Rattus norvegicus: one gene and its partners. The protein of the gene in region 2 interacts with the protein of the main gene of each other region in a pairwise test. Links are inferred from orthologs where the notes say so. Each region holds a gene or a part of one and is shown on either strand. Other genes may lie near its edges.

Evidence for each region.
Region 1: the proteins of Efemp1 (region 2) and Ric8a interact in binary tests that used the Homo sapiens proteins (3 or more experiments, as listed by UniProt). The link is inferred for Rattus norvegicus from reciprocal best matches to the Homo sapiens genes EFEMP1 and RIC8A.
Region 3: the proteins of Efemp1 (region 2) and Khdrbs1 interact in a two-hybrid assay, tested with the Homo sapiens proteins (2 studies listed by BioGRID and IntAct). The link is inferred for Rattus norvegicus from reciprocal best matches to the Homo sapiens genes EFEMP1 and KHDRBS1.

The regions. Positions count from the first base shown.
Region 1 is NC_086019.1:205,363,820-205,367,567, reverse strand, and holds the start of Ric8a (synembryn-A), read right to left. Parts: upstream 2,773-3,748; 5' UTR 2,542-2,772; coding exon 2,458-2,541; intron 2,269-2,457; exon of another isoform or gene 2,170-2,268; coding exon 2,122-2,169; intron 2,033-2,121; coding exon 1,442-2,032; intron 1,146-1,441; coding exon 1,054-1,145; intron 583-1,053; coding exon 432-582; intron 1-431.
Region 2 is NC_086032.1:106,810,320-106,814,067, reverse strand, and holds the start of Efemp1 (EGF-containing fibulin-like extracellular matrix protein 1 precursor), read right to left. Parts: upstream 2,205-3,748; 5' UTR 2,148-2,204; exon of another isoform or gene 2,083-2,147; intron 1,991-2,082; exon of another isoform or gene 1,530-1,990; intron 1,442-1,529; exon of another isoform or gene 1,401-1,441; 5' UTR 1,362-1,400; intron 977-1,361; 5' UTR 968-976; coding exon 887-967; intron 1-886. UniProt on the Homo sapiens protein: Binds EGFR, the EGF receptor, inducing EGFR autophosphorylation and the activation of downstream signaling pathways. May play a role in cell adhesion and migration. May function as a negative regulator of chondrocyte differentiation.
Region 3 is NC_086023.1:147,356,345-147,359,992, forward strand, and holds part of Khdrbs1 (KH domain-containing, RNA-binding, signal transduction-associated protein 1), read right to left. Parts: intron 1,232-3,648; coding exon 1,085-1,231; intron 1-1,084. UniProt on the Homo sapiens protein: Recruited and tyrosine phosphorylated by several receptor systems, for example the T-cell, leptin and insulin receptors. Once phosphorylated, functions as an adapter protein in signal transduction cascades by binding to SH2 and SH3 domain-containing proteins.

The DNA of each region.
Region 1 (3,748 bases), on a different chromosome or scaffold from region 2:
ACTGTCTCAAAAAAAAAAAAAAAAAACATAAAAAATAAAAAATGCAGAGGGACAAAACTGATGTCACCTCTGGCTGCCTATATATAGAAACAGTTGGAGGCTGAGGGTCACAAGCAAGAACCAAAGGCTTCTGAGAACCACTTAACAGGACCACAGAGACCTAAAAGGTAACTGTCACCTTAGTAGACCCTGAGAGGCTTGTTTTTCTTTGGTAATCAGCAGCAGCAGGGTTCACACACATGGTGTGTCCGCAAGCTTCTGAGAGGACCTGACTGAGCGGCCACCATCTAGCTATACCACGGAGAATCAGAAGACCTGTCCTGGATATACCATCAAGCTGAGCTCTACTTGCCAGTACCAATGGTGCAGAAACAGTAGCCATAACTGGTACCCAAGCCCCTGGGCATCCACATAGCAGGTCCCCCTCCTACCTGGTGCAGACGCTTCTCTAGGAAGGCAAGGAGGGCATTGATCACATCCATATTAACTCCCATAAACTCTAAGGATCCTTCGTGTAGCTCCAGAGCGAGAAGGACATCCAAACATTTGAGGGGCAGGTTCCCCAGGAGATTCACGGTGTGGCTGGGGACAGACAGAGGCCTTGACACAGTAACCATATTTAGCACAGATACAATCCCTGGCCCTTCTCCTGGGGTACACATGATATGTGGGCCCGAAGGATAGCACTGAGGCAAGGGCAGTTGGTACCCCAACTCGAGTTTGGTGGGGAAACACTGTAGACTCTATCTGCACCATTCTGTCTGAGCTGAGATGCCAAGCAATCTCTCAGTTTCGAGAGACTGGCTGAGGCACCAGCAAGAGACCATGCGGCCTCCACCTAAGGCCCTGTCTCTAAGTTCAAAACTCTTCTTAGTCATACCCTGAGTTCCCTAGGCTCTCTGAAAACACACCGGGATCCCGTTCCCCATGATGTCACACTCAAAGGTGGGGCCCGGGCTCCCAGGTGCTTGAGTCACAGCTAGGGTTAAGGACTTCTGTACCCATACCTAGGCAACTCCTGCCATCCCCAACATAGTAAGTCCTGCTCCTCACCCATGGAACTCCTCTGTGCGGTCTCCAGCAGCATCAGCCATCACACAGTGCCGCAGAAGGGTCCCCAGGTACCGGTAAAGGGCAGCGTCCTCCTAGCCAAAGACGGAAAGGGGCTCCCGTGAGAATAAGACCCTATTCTTATGACCCAAGGCCACATGGTGATCACTAGGCCCTGTCCACAGCACACTTGGTCACCTGAAGCATTATGGAGAATACCCGTCCCCAGCCCCATGCACAACACAGCTCAGAAACCTTGAGTTCCTGCCTAGATTGTCCTCTAGTCCTTGCCATATCCGACACCCTGCAACTTGAGGCACACAGGGAAGCAAACCCACAAAATGCCCCAGCTGAGCTGAGTCCCACCCATTGACTTCAGACTACAACCTACCTCATCAACCTCCCTCTTAACAGAGTCGTAGGTGATGTTAAAGAGCACTTTGAGGATTTCCATGGCCCGCTCTGTCTCTTGGGCTGGAAGTATCACCAGAGGGTTTTCTTTGGGGGCCACACCCAATGTCAGTTCCAGCGCATCGGTCAGCAGGCGCACGCCATGCAGCTCCTGAAACAGCTGCTGGCGCACATCAGTGCGAAGGGCTGTTAGCAGGAAAAGGAGCCTTAAGTCAAAGAACTGGACTTCGTGGGGATAGCTCCTTTTGCGGTACAGTCCCACACGTTCCGCTAGCCTCACCACCAGTCGAGCCTCTGCTGCTAGCATCTGTGCTGTAGGACTGCTGAGCACAAGATTACACAGGCATTTGAGAGACTCGAGGAGGACATCCATGTCTGGGGGCTGTGGGATGGGCTCCTCTGAGATGGCAATGTCGGCATAGCAGGCTAGTGCGTGTAAACTCTGGCGGCTAGCAAATGAGTCCAGGCAGCTGCGGTCTCGGGATAGGATTCGGATAGTCTGCAGCCAGGTGACACGGTGTTTTGGTGACAAGCCCTGCTCCAGTACGGAGACCAGCAGCTTTGCGAGTCTCTGTGGGAAGGGACAAAAATGGTTCCACTAGGCCCTCTTCTTGGGGCAGCCCGTGCTTGCCCTAGGAACCCCCTTGGGCTGACACCTACCTTCCTGTCCTCCTGCTGTGCATCATCGAAGGTGAAGCTCTGGGAATGCTGCAGGGAGACCCAGGAAGCTCAGTTCCACACGCAGGTAGGACCTGTGCTCCTCGAGAAGCAGCAGGTCTGCTTCTACCTCTGAAGCAGCAGCCATCGCTGTGTACGTAAAGCAAGGCCCACCCTCGCCACCCATACACCTGACTACCACAGAGGCACCGCCGTGGCCCAGCCCACCACCCACCGCCCTGCTCCCTGCCACACTCGCACGCACACCCCAGCCGAGTGGCGAGCAACCGGCTGCTTCCTCACTTCCTGCAATTTCCTCGGCAGCTGGATGCCTCTCACCTCTCGGTTAAACGACCGCAGAGCTTCTGTCACCGCATCTTCCTCTCCCGTCTCCAAGGCATCCGCAACTGCCCGGGGCTCCATGGCCCCTGGCACGGGGTGCTAGAAGACTTGGGCTGGGAAGACGCAATCGGCCAAACCCGGGGACTCCGCCCAGGTCCGGAAGCCCAGCGTCCACGCGTGAGGAATGCTGGGAGAACAGCCGAGCCTAGGGTGTGTACAGGCGCGGGGCTGGCCTCCGGCTTAAGGTGGAGCAACCCGGCTGTGGCCGCTGAGCGGCTTGTCTTGGAGCAGCGATGCTAGCTAACTAAGCAGTATCCTCCTTTTGAGCCCTTCTCTCTAGCCCGACTTCCTGGCGGGCGGGGGTGGGGAGTGGGGTGTGGCTTGGCCGGCGCGTAAACCTTTCTCCTTACACTCTTGTTCCCGTACTGTGATAAAAGAGGGAGCGCCGGCTCCTGGCCGCTTAGTCAGTTGGGGAAGACGATTCTCGCGGTCATCTTCCTGATGCTCATCTTCCACGGGAAATAAGGAAAGAGAAGTACGACTTGGATGGTCAAAATAATGTACGTGGTTAGCCGGGCATAGTAACGCACGCTTTTTTAAATTTCAGCACTCGAGAGGCAGAAACGGGCAGACCTATCTAAAAACAATCAAAAAACCAAACCACCAAAATAATGTGGTTATCAAAAGAAAAGGGCAATTGCAGAGTGTATGAGGAAGGATCGGAGAGAAGGAAGTGAAGAACACCGGTGGAAAAGCGACTCCCGCGGGAGGAGCAACGGAGGGGCGGCTAGCCGCGGCGTGTCTGGGGTTAGAAGCGTAGGAACGTTGTATAGTGGGGAGCCAGGTCTGCATGCCACTTAGCTTAAGGCAGAGTCGGTGCACCCCACGGTGACACAAGCAATGTTCCAGAGGATAATGCCGCCCGCTGTGCTAACCGGCGCTTGCCTCTACTCAGTGTCAGGTCCTTTGCCAGTCTCTTTCGCTTCTGCTCGTCCTCCCCATCCTGTCGTTCTCACTTGGGGACTTTGCAGCGCCCGAGGTACCCGACCCTCGGCTCCAGGTTGGGGTCTGAGCTCCTGCTCCGGGTAATACCCACAGCGCGGGACTAATACTGCTGACCAATCCGTAGGCCCGAATGCTGGCGGCCCGCCCTTCCCTTATTTACATTCCAGTGTAGAACTACAAGTCTGTTTCTTCCGCTTCAGACTCTTCTCCCGGAAGTTATTAGACCTGAGGCGGAACCGGAAGACCCAGGTAGTGGTGCCACGTCCGTCGCTGTGTTGCCTAC
Region 2 (3,748 bases):
GATATTAGCTCACTTCTGAGTTTTACTCTAAAAACATTTGCATTCTTTTGAATAGGATTACTTAATTTTAAGAATTGGAAAGAAGTGGGAAAATGTGTTTTCCATATGCTCACCCGGGACAAATGTCATTCATCTGAGAACACTTACCTTGAGTTAGAAAACAACACAGAGGAACTGGCCTCACCCCAGTCAGGTAAGCCCTGCTTTGCCCCCTACTGTCAGGTATATTTTGGGCAGTGGGAGGGGTCAGATGATATTTTAAATATTTTATTCAACATTGGTTATACTGATGCAACTAACTGACCAAATGTGACTGAAAATTGCCAGAGATGCAGATAGAAGTTGCAAGACCAGGATGCACACAGTGTGTTTTAAATCTACTTTAGCAAATGCTGTCTCCCAGTGACAGGTAAACTATCTGTAGTATTCCTACATGAATAGATAGCCTTCATGAATCCGAGAAGGAGCACTTCACGGGGATAGGCACAGATGAGAACTTATAAAATACACTTTTATTTGATCTGAGTGTTACTCTGCACGAACCAATTGCATCTGAATGTACCCAGGCATCCAGAGTCCTCAAACCCATCAATTCATTGAGTGGTTAGAAACATGCAGCTTACATAGATTTGAATTTTAATAGAGTCAATTTTTGGCTTTGTACAAACCATTCTAGTTTGATTCCTACCCCAGCTGGTGAGCTAAACGCACCTTTGAAAGGACCCAGAGCAATTTATCAGGAATCTTAAATCTGAATCATCTTAAAGTGTTGTTTAATTTATTTTGCTTCACAGAGTACTGCCTACTTACCCTGGCAGAAACTGGTCAAGTCTTGTATCATAGACTACCACTCAATACACTCCAATACAATTCCATCACCTCTTACCGTGTATGTAATGGTTTCCTCCGTGACCTGTGACTTGACCAGAGCCAGAGTCAGCATAGTTAGGAAAACTGTTTGCAACATCGTGATTCTCTAAGGGAAATGGGACAAAGAGACGTTTAGTATTAGCTACACAGAAAATCCAAACTTTATCAGTGAAGAAACAGGCAAAAAAAAAAAGGAGTGTGGGAAGCCCAAGATACCTAATTTCCAGTCTGCTATCTCACCCCCACCCCAGCCAACAAATAAGCAAGACAGGAGAAGAAGCTACTGCAGAACTGTATTACTTCATTCCAACCATCCTGTACCAGGGTTGTTCGGCGTGTGTTTATACTACTCATTAGGCTCCAGGAAACAACAGTAGTCAAAGGGGATAGAGAATGTGATCATTTCCATCCCTTTGTCCCCTCGGAAGTGGAAATAGGGCCGCAGCATCTGTCTGTTTTTGGAAACTGTAGAGTGCCCATGCAAGGCTCACCTCTAGCTGAAGTTCCGTGCCCAGCTCAGCAAAAGATACCTGCAAACCAGTACAGTCACGTGGCCGCAGACTTTATTGCCCTTTAAGAAAAGTTCAAAATACCCAAACAAAACTGGAAGAGCGATCTCTTAGTTCCTGATAGAATACCCTACAGGGATTCACACTCACCGCAGGGTGACTTCTCTAGTCCCCACCCTTAAAGCTCCATTTCCATCCGCGCGCGCTCACGTACAACTTTGTTTCCAAGCTCAGGACTTCGGAGACCAGCAGCTCAAAGTCGCTGATCCCTTGTTCCATCGTTCTCAGGTCTCAAAATGTGCTATGCATAGGCTCTAGGCTGTCTAAGGTCGGACTTCAGACCGCTTTGCAGCACTGGGTACCAATTTTGAGGTGCCTAGCCTGGTGTCTGCAGGGCAGTGAGCTCAGCATTCTTAGATGCAAGCTACTAGGCGCCTGCCAGCAGGAATTGCTGAGCCCTTTAACTTTTAGCCAGCCTCTGGGCAATCCAGGTGCCTTTCAAGTACATCAGTCGCTGAACCTAGAGACCATGGTCACCAGCAAAACTCTCTGTGTTGAGAATCAGCTCGCATACTCTGCCCATCCCAACAAATGTCACCCAAGTACTAGCACAAACTGACAGATTGCTATCCCAGACCCGCACCTCCACCTCCATCTTCTCTGCCCAGTTGCACAGTCAGGGACAGTTCTTGGGTCAACCCACCACACTTCCCGGTACAGTCCCTGCCGGTACAATGCACTTCTGCGACCTTGGCTGGGGGCTCCTACCTGCGGGGAGCCGCGCGGCAATCCAGCCCCGGCAGCGAAGGAGTGCGCAGGGGAGGGCAGTCTGGTGGGTCTGAACTGGCGAGGTCTGGCAGCAGCAGCAGCCACAGGAGGAGGAGAAAGGGAGGAGAAGTAGGGCGAAGGGGGGCGGAGGAGAGAGAGGGAGGCGCAAGCGCCCTGCCCAGGCTTCCAACCATGCGGGAAGGCGCGCCTCTTGGCTTGGGGTCTGGGGGCCCAGCTGTCTTCTGCAGTAGGCCCCTTGGTCCCCTGATTCACAGGAATTTGAGATACAAGAGCTGTCTAAATATCACTCCCGTCGAGCTTTTAGGCTCTACAGGAATGGCTTAAATTCCTTTTTATCTCAACAAGTGATTCCTGGGAGAGTAAATTAAGGCTATTAACAGAACTGGTCCTTTATTTTTCATCTCGGATTTTTATTTTTGGAGGGGAGGTGCGTTCTGTCTGCTTTCTCAAATGGTGAAAGGTGAAAATGAATGCATTCTGGGCCTACCAGGTGCTAGGTGTTAGGAGTGGACCAAGTGGAACTCATCCTAACAAAATATATGCCATCCTGGGGTATGTGCCGTTCCCCCCACCCTGTGTGTGTGTGTGTGTGTGTGTGTGCGCGCGCATGTTGCATGTGAGCATGTGTGCGTGCTGCATGTGTACATGTATGCACGCATGTGTGTGCGTGCGTGTGTAATGTGCTAGTCTTTTAACTCATCTCCTTCTTGTCTCATCTACGGTTTCTTATTTCTCCGGATTACTGCCCATCCAAAGTTAAGTTAGGCATTTTTCTTGCATCTTCCATAATAATGGTGGAATTTCAGGAATCTGAAGAGAGAATCCCCCACCCCCTTCATCAAGTCATACCACACAGATTGCAGCTATTTCTGATAGCCTCTCCCGCCCCATAGTTAGGCAGTTATTTCCCTTTGGCTGCAGGTGTGCCTTTAAAGAACCAAATCACCAAACGCAATTTGAGAACTACAGAACCTGCTAATGACTGTCCTGTCCGGGGCGGACTGCAGAGGTTGTGGAAGTGGTGAGTTGGTAGAGACTGCTGGAGAGCAGCAGTTAGGTGGTCGCTGCTCTTCTCTCTTCCTGGTGGGTGGGTTAAGTAAACATTGGTGTGGTAACAAGTCATCCAGTACTGGACAGGATCAGATCTGCAGAACTTACAAAGTATGGAAGGCTTTGGTGATTGTAGCAAAGGCATTTACTACTAAGTTTCTAGTAAGTTCCCTAACCCTACTAGTCATCAGTGACCCCAAACTGCTTTTCTTTGAAAAAGTAGATTCTCTGTTTCTATACAATAAAAATTTCTCCCTGTGTGTTTGCTTATTTAAACTCATTTCGACTCTTTCTTTGGAGCAATGAAGTTACAAGCTTCCAGTCATCTATCTGCAGTCCAGCGATTGTTTTGCACACCCACTTGCTGGTTCGCTGCCTTAATTTAGACATCTGTTGGGCACTTCAGACTGAACACGTTCCAGCCTCGTCCTCTTCCTCAGGCTGCTCCACCCCTCAGCTTCACCATCTCAATCAACTGGAATTTCATCCCCTCCTGCTCATGTCCAGTTGGCTACATTTCTTTGCATAGT
Region 3 (3,648 bases), on a different chromosome or scaffold from region 2:
ACCCCATCTCAAAATACCACTCCCAAAAAGAGTAGCCTTGAAAGGCTAGATGAAGTCTCAAGTCAAAATTCTTTGATGTCGAATTACACTGTCAGTTCTTTGAAGAAAGACTTGACAGCAGACCCTCACTAATGAAGTTCTTCAGAAGGTGCTTCCTTCCTAGCTCTCCCTTGACCACTCCTATCTTTATACACAAACTTTCTCAAGACAAGCCAAACCACCTAGAACTCGTCACCTACACTAGAGTCCAGTCTCCAGAGACTTCATTATGTATTTGGAAAAACTCCAAAATCTGAGGGGAGGGGGGATTCCCAAACACTAAAGGAGAGTTCACACAATTGACACTTAACCTGTTCTATAACCAGGTGACTCTTAGGAATCTACACCGTTTTCTAAGCATGGTGGAACACATCACTAATCACAGCACTTGGGAGGCAGAGGCAGGCAGACCTCTGTAAGCTGGAGACCAGCCTGGTCTATACAGTGAGCTCTAGGCCAGGCAGAGATGTACAATGAGACCCTATCTCAAACAAAACAAAAACCAACAACCACAAAAACCAGAGAAAATTAAATGCCATCAATAGTCATGCCTGTACCATACAGCTCTTCTGAACCAGACTCTGAGTAAGAAATCTCCACCGGAAGCTCCCTTCATTGCCTCAGTAGAAATTAGCTCATTAGCACTGGGTGCTCTAAGTTTCCGGCTGTTAACTCTAGACTGAAAAGTCTAGCACACATGCTCCTTAACTGAGGACCTACCCTTAGGTCGTTTTCCTAATACCATCTCCTGGTTCCACAGTAGTACCAGAAGAATGAATTAAATGAAGACCTTATTAAATCTGTTAACCAAATTGTTAACACATCAAGGACCCAAGAGACTGACAACAGATAGTAGCACATATTAATGAAGCCACATTAGACATGGAGGCCTTGGAGTACAATGCTTTGAGAATGAGAAATGAGTAGTGGGAGAAGCTTGGCAAAGTAAACAGAAGCACAGACCCTGGTCAAGAACCACAGCCTCTCCAACATTACAATCTTACTTTCTCCCTGCTTAGAGGATAGAGAATATGTATTTCCTTACTGGTACTAGAAATTTCTTGACTTCTTCCATAGCATGGGCCATAAGAGCATAAGCTTCACATGGGGGTCCAAAGACTTCAATGAAGACATGCAGATCCATATTTAAATGGGCATATTTGGGGTCTCCACCCTTGCGCAACTCTTCCTCCTATGGGAACAAGCAAAGAAATATCAACTCATATACAGACTAAACAAATACAGTATCTTCACATGTAAGTCAAAGAGAATAGCTTAAAAAACAAAACAAAACCCTTAAGCAAGTCCTAGAACTGATACTACCTGTTAAAACTGTAACTGATGTAGTGATTTAAATATGCTTGGCCAATGGGTACTATTAAGAGGTGTGGCCTTTTTGGGATAGGTATGACTCCCCCCCATTTTTTTTTTTTTTTTTTGGTTCTTTTTTTTGGAGCTGGGGACCGAACCCAGGGCCTTGCGCTTCCTAGGCAAGCGCTCTACTACTGAGCTAAATCCCCAACCCGCCCCCATTTTTATTAAATTGGGTATTTCTTATTCACATTTCAAATGTTATTCACTTTCCTGGTTTCCTGTCCATCATCCCCCTAATCCCTCCCACTCCCCTTCGATAAGGGTGTTCCCCTCCCCATCCATTCCCCCTTACTGCACCACCCCCACACACAATCCCCTACACTGGGGGGGTCTAACCTTGGCAGAACCAAGGGCTTCCCCTTCCACTGGTGCCCCAACAAGGTTATTCACTGCTACCTATGCAGTTGGAGCCCAGGGTCAGTCCTAGGGATAACCTTCTAAGAGGAAGTATGTCACTGTGTAGGTGGGCTTTGAGGGTTTCTAGTGCTCAAGCTCCTCCCAGTGTAGAACAGAGTCTCCTAAGATGTAGAACTCTCAGCTCCATCTCCAGCACCACGTCTGCCTACACACGGCCATGCTTCCCAAGATGATAATGGACTGCACCTCTGAAACTGTAAGCCAGCCCCAATTAAATGTTTTCTTTTATGAGTTGCCTTAGTCATGGTGTCTCTTCACAGGAATAAAATCCTAACTAAGCTACTTGGTTGCCTGTTTCCTTAAACCACTGAAGTGTTCCCTGCAGTAAATTAAAACTTAATTTTAGAATCCACTCAGGTTAACAGTTGTTTGCTCAGTATTTAGTGTATGAATGCACGTATGCACTCATGGCCAAGCACTAGTCTTTAAATTCATTAGTACTCTTTATCACCACTGGCCTTGCTAAAGTGTTTACTGTCCAGGAGTTCCAAGGAAGGGACAAAGTCAGGACAGACAAGAAAATCTTTTAGAAATCTCATTAACAAAAATAACACACTTCAGACTCGTTCTATGTATCCAGTGTGAAAGGTAAAGGACAAAAGAAAAAGATGAGGAAAATAAGACCTATCAATTAAACTACCTAAAAGTTAGGCCCTCAAAAATATTTTTCTAGGGGTTGGGGATTTAGCTCAGTGGTAAGGCACTAGCCTAGCAAGCGCAAGGCCCTGGGTTCAGTCCCCAGCTCAAAAAAAAAAAAAGGAAAAAATATTTTTCTAGATTTATCAGTTAAGTCTTATCTAAGGGTAAACTATTACATGTGCTAAAAGTTTCTTGTCAATTGATTGCACACTGGGTAGAGTGCTGTGGAATGGAAAATAAAAAATAAAAACCCTTAAATAGGTTTTCTTTGTCAGGATAAGTCATGTTTAACTTTGGAATCTATCATTTTAGTAGGTCTTACATTCCTGTTGGCTAGATTTCAAATGATCTAACCCCAAACTCACCAGCATTGAACACGTATTCCCTGTCACTGGGAAAAAAGGTGCACTACTCACATTTTAATGTCTTCCATTGGGGCTGGAGAGATGGCTCAGTGGTTAGGAGCACTGACTGCTCTTCCAGAGGTCCTGAGTTCAATTCCCAGCAACCACATGGTGGCTCACAACCATTTGTAATGGAACCCGATGCCCTCTTCTGGTGTGTGTCTGAGGACAGCTACAGTGTACTCATATATAATAAATAAATAAACCTTAATGTCTTCCATATGGTTAAGTTTACTAAGTTCTCATTTCAAATTTCAAGAGGCAGTCTTACCAACGCCAACAATGCTACTTAATTATACCATAATATCATAATGCAGTCAAAAGAAAAAAACAAAAAAACAAAACAGAAACAAAAATGCTGGAGAGACAGATAGCTTAATGGTAAATAGCACTGAGTTCAATTCCCAGAACCCTCATGATGGCTTCTGTCTATAACTGTAGCCCTGTGGGATCTGATGCTCTCTTCTGGTGTGTAGATGTAAATGCACACAAAACAACCATATACATAAAATAAACACATTAAAAGGGGGAAGGGAACCATTAGGACATATCCTAGGCTCTTTCCAACAGTGCCAGTGAGTACTAACATGCAATGAAAGCTTGCATCAGTCATTGTATGCTGTGGGGGTGGGGCACAGTGGTGCATGTCTTTAACCCTAGCACATGGGAGGCAGAGGCAGGCAGATCTTTGATACCAGCCTGGTCTTTACAGCAAGTTCCAGGCCAGCCTGGATACACAGTGGGACACTGTATCTCAACAGCTCCCAAATAAACC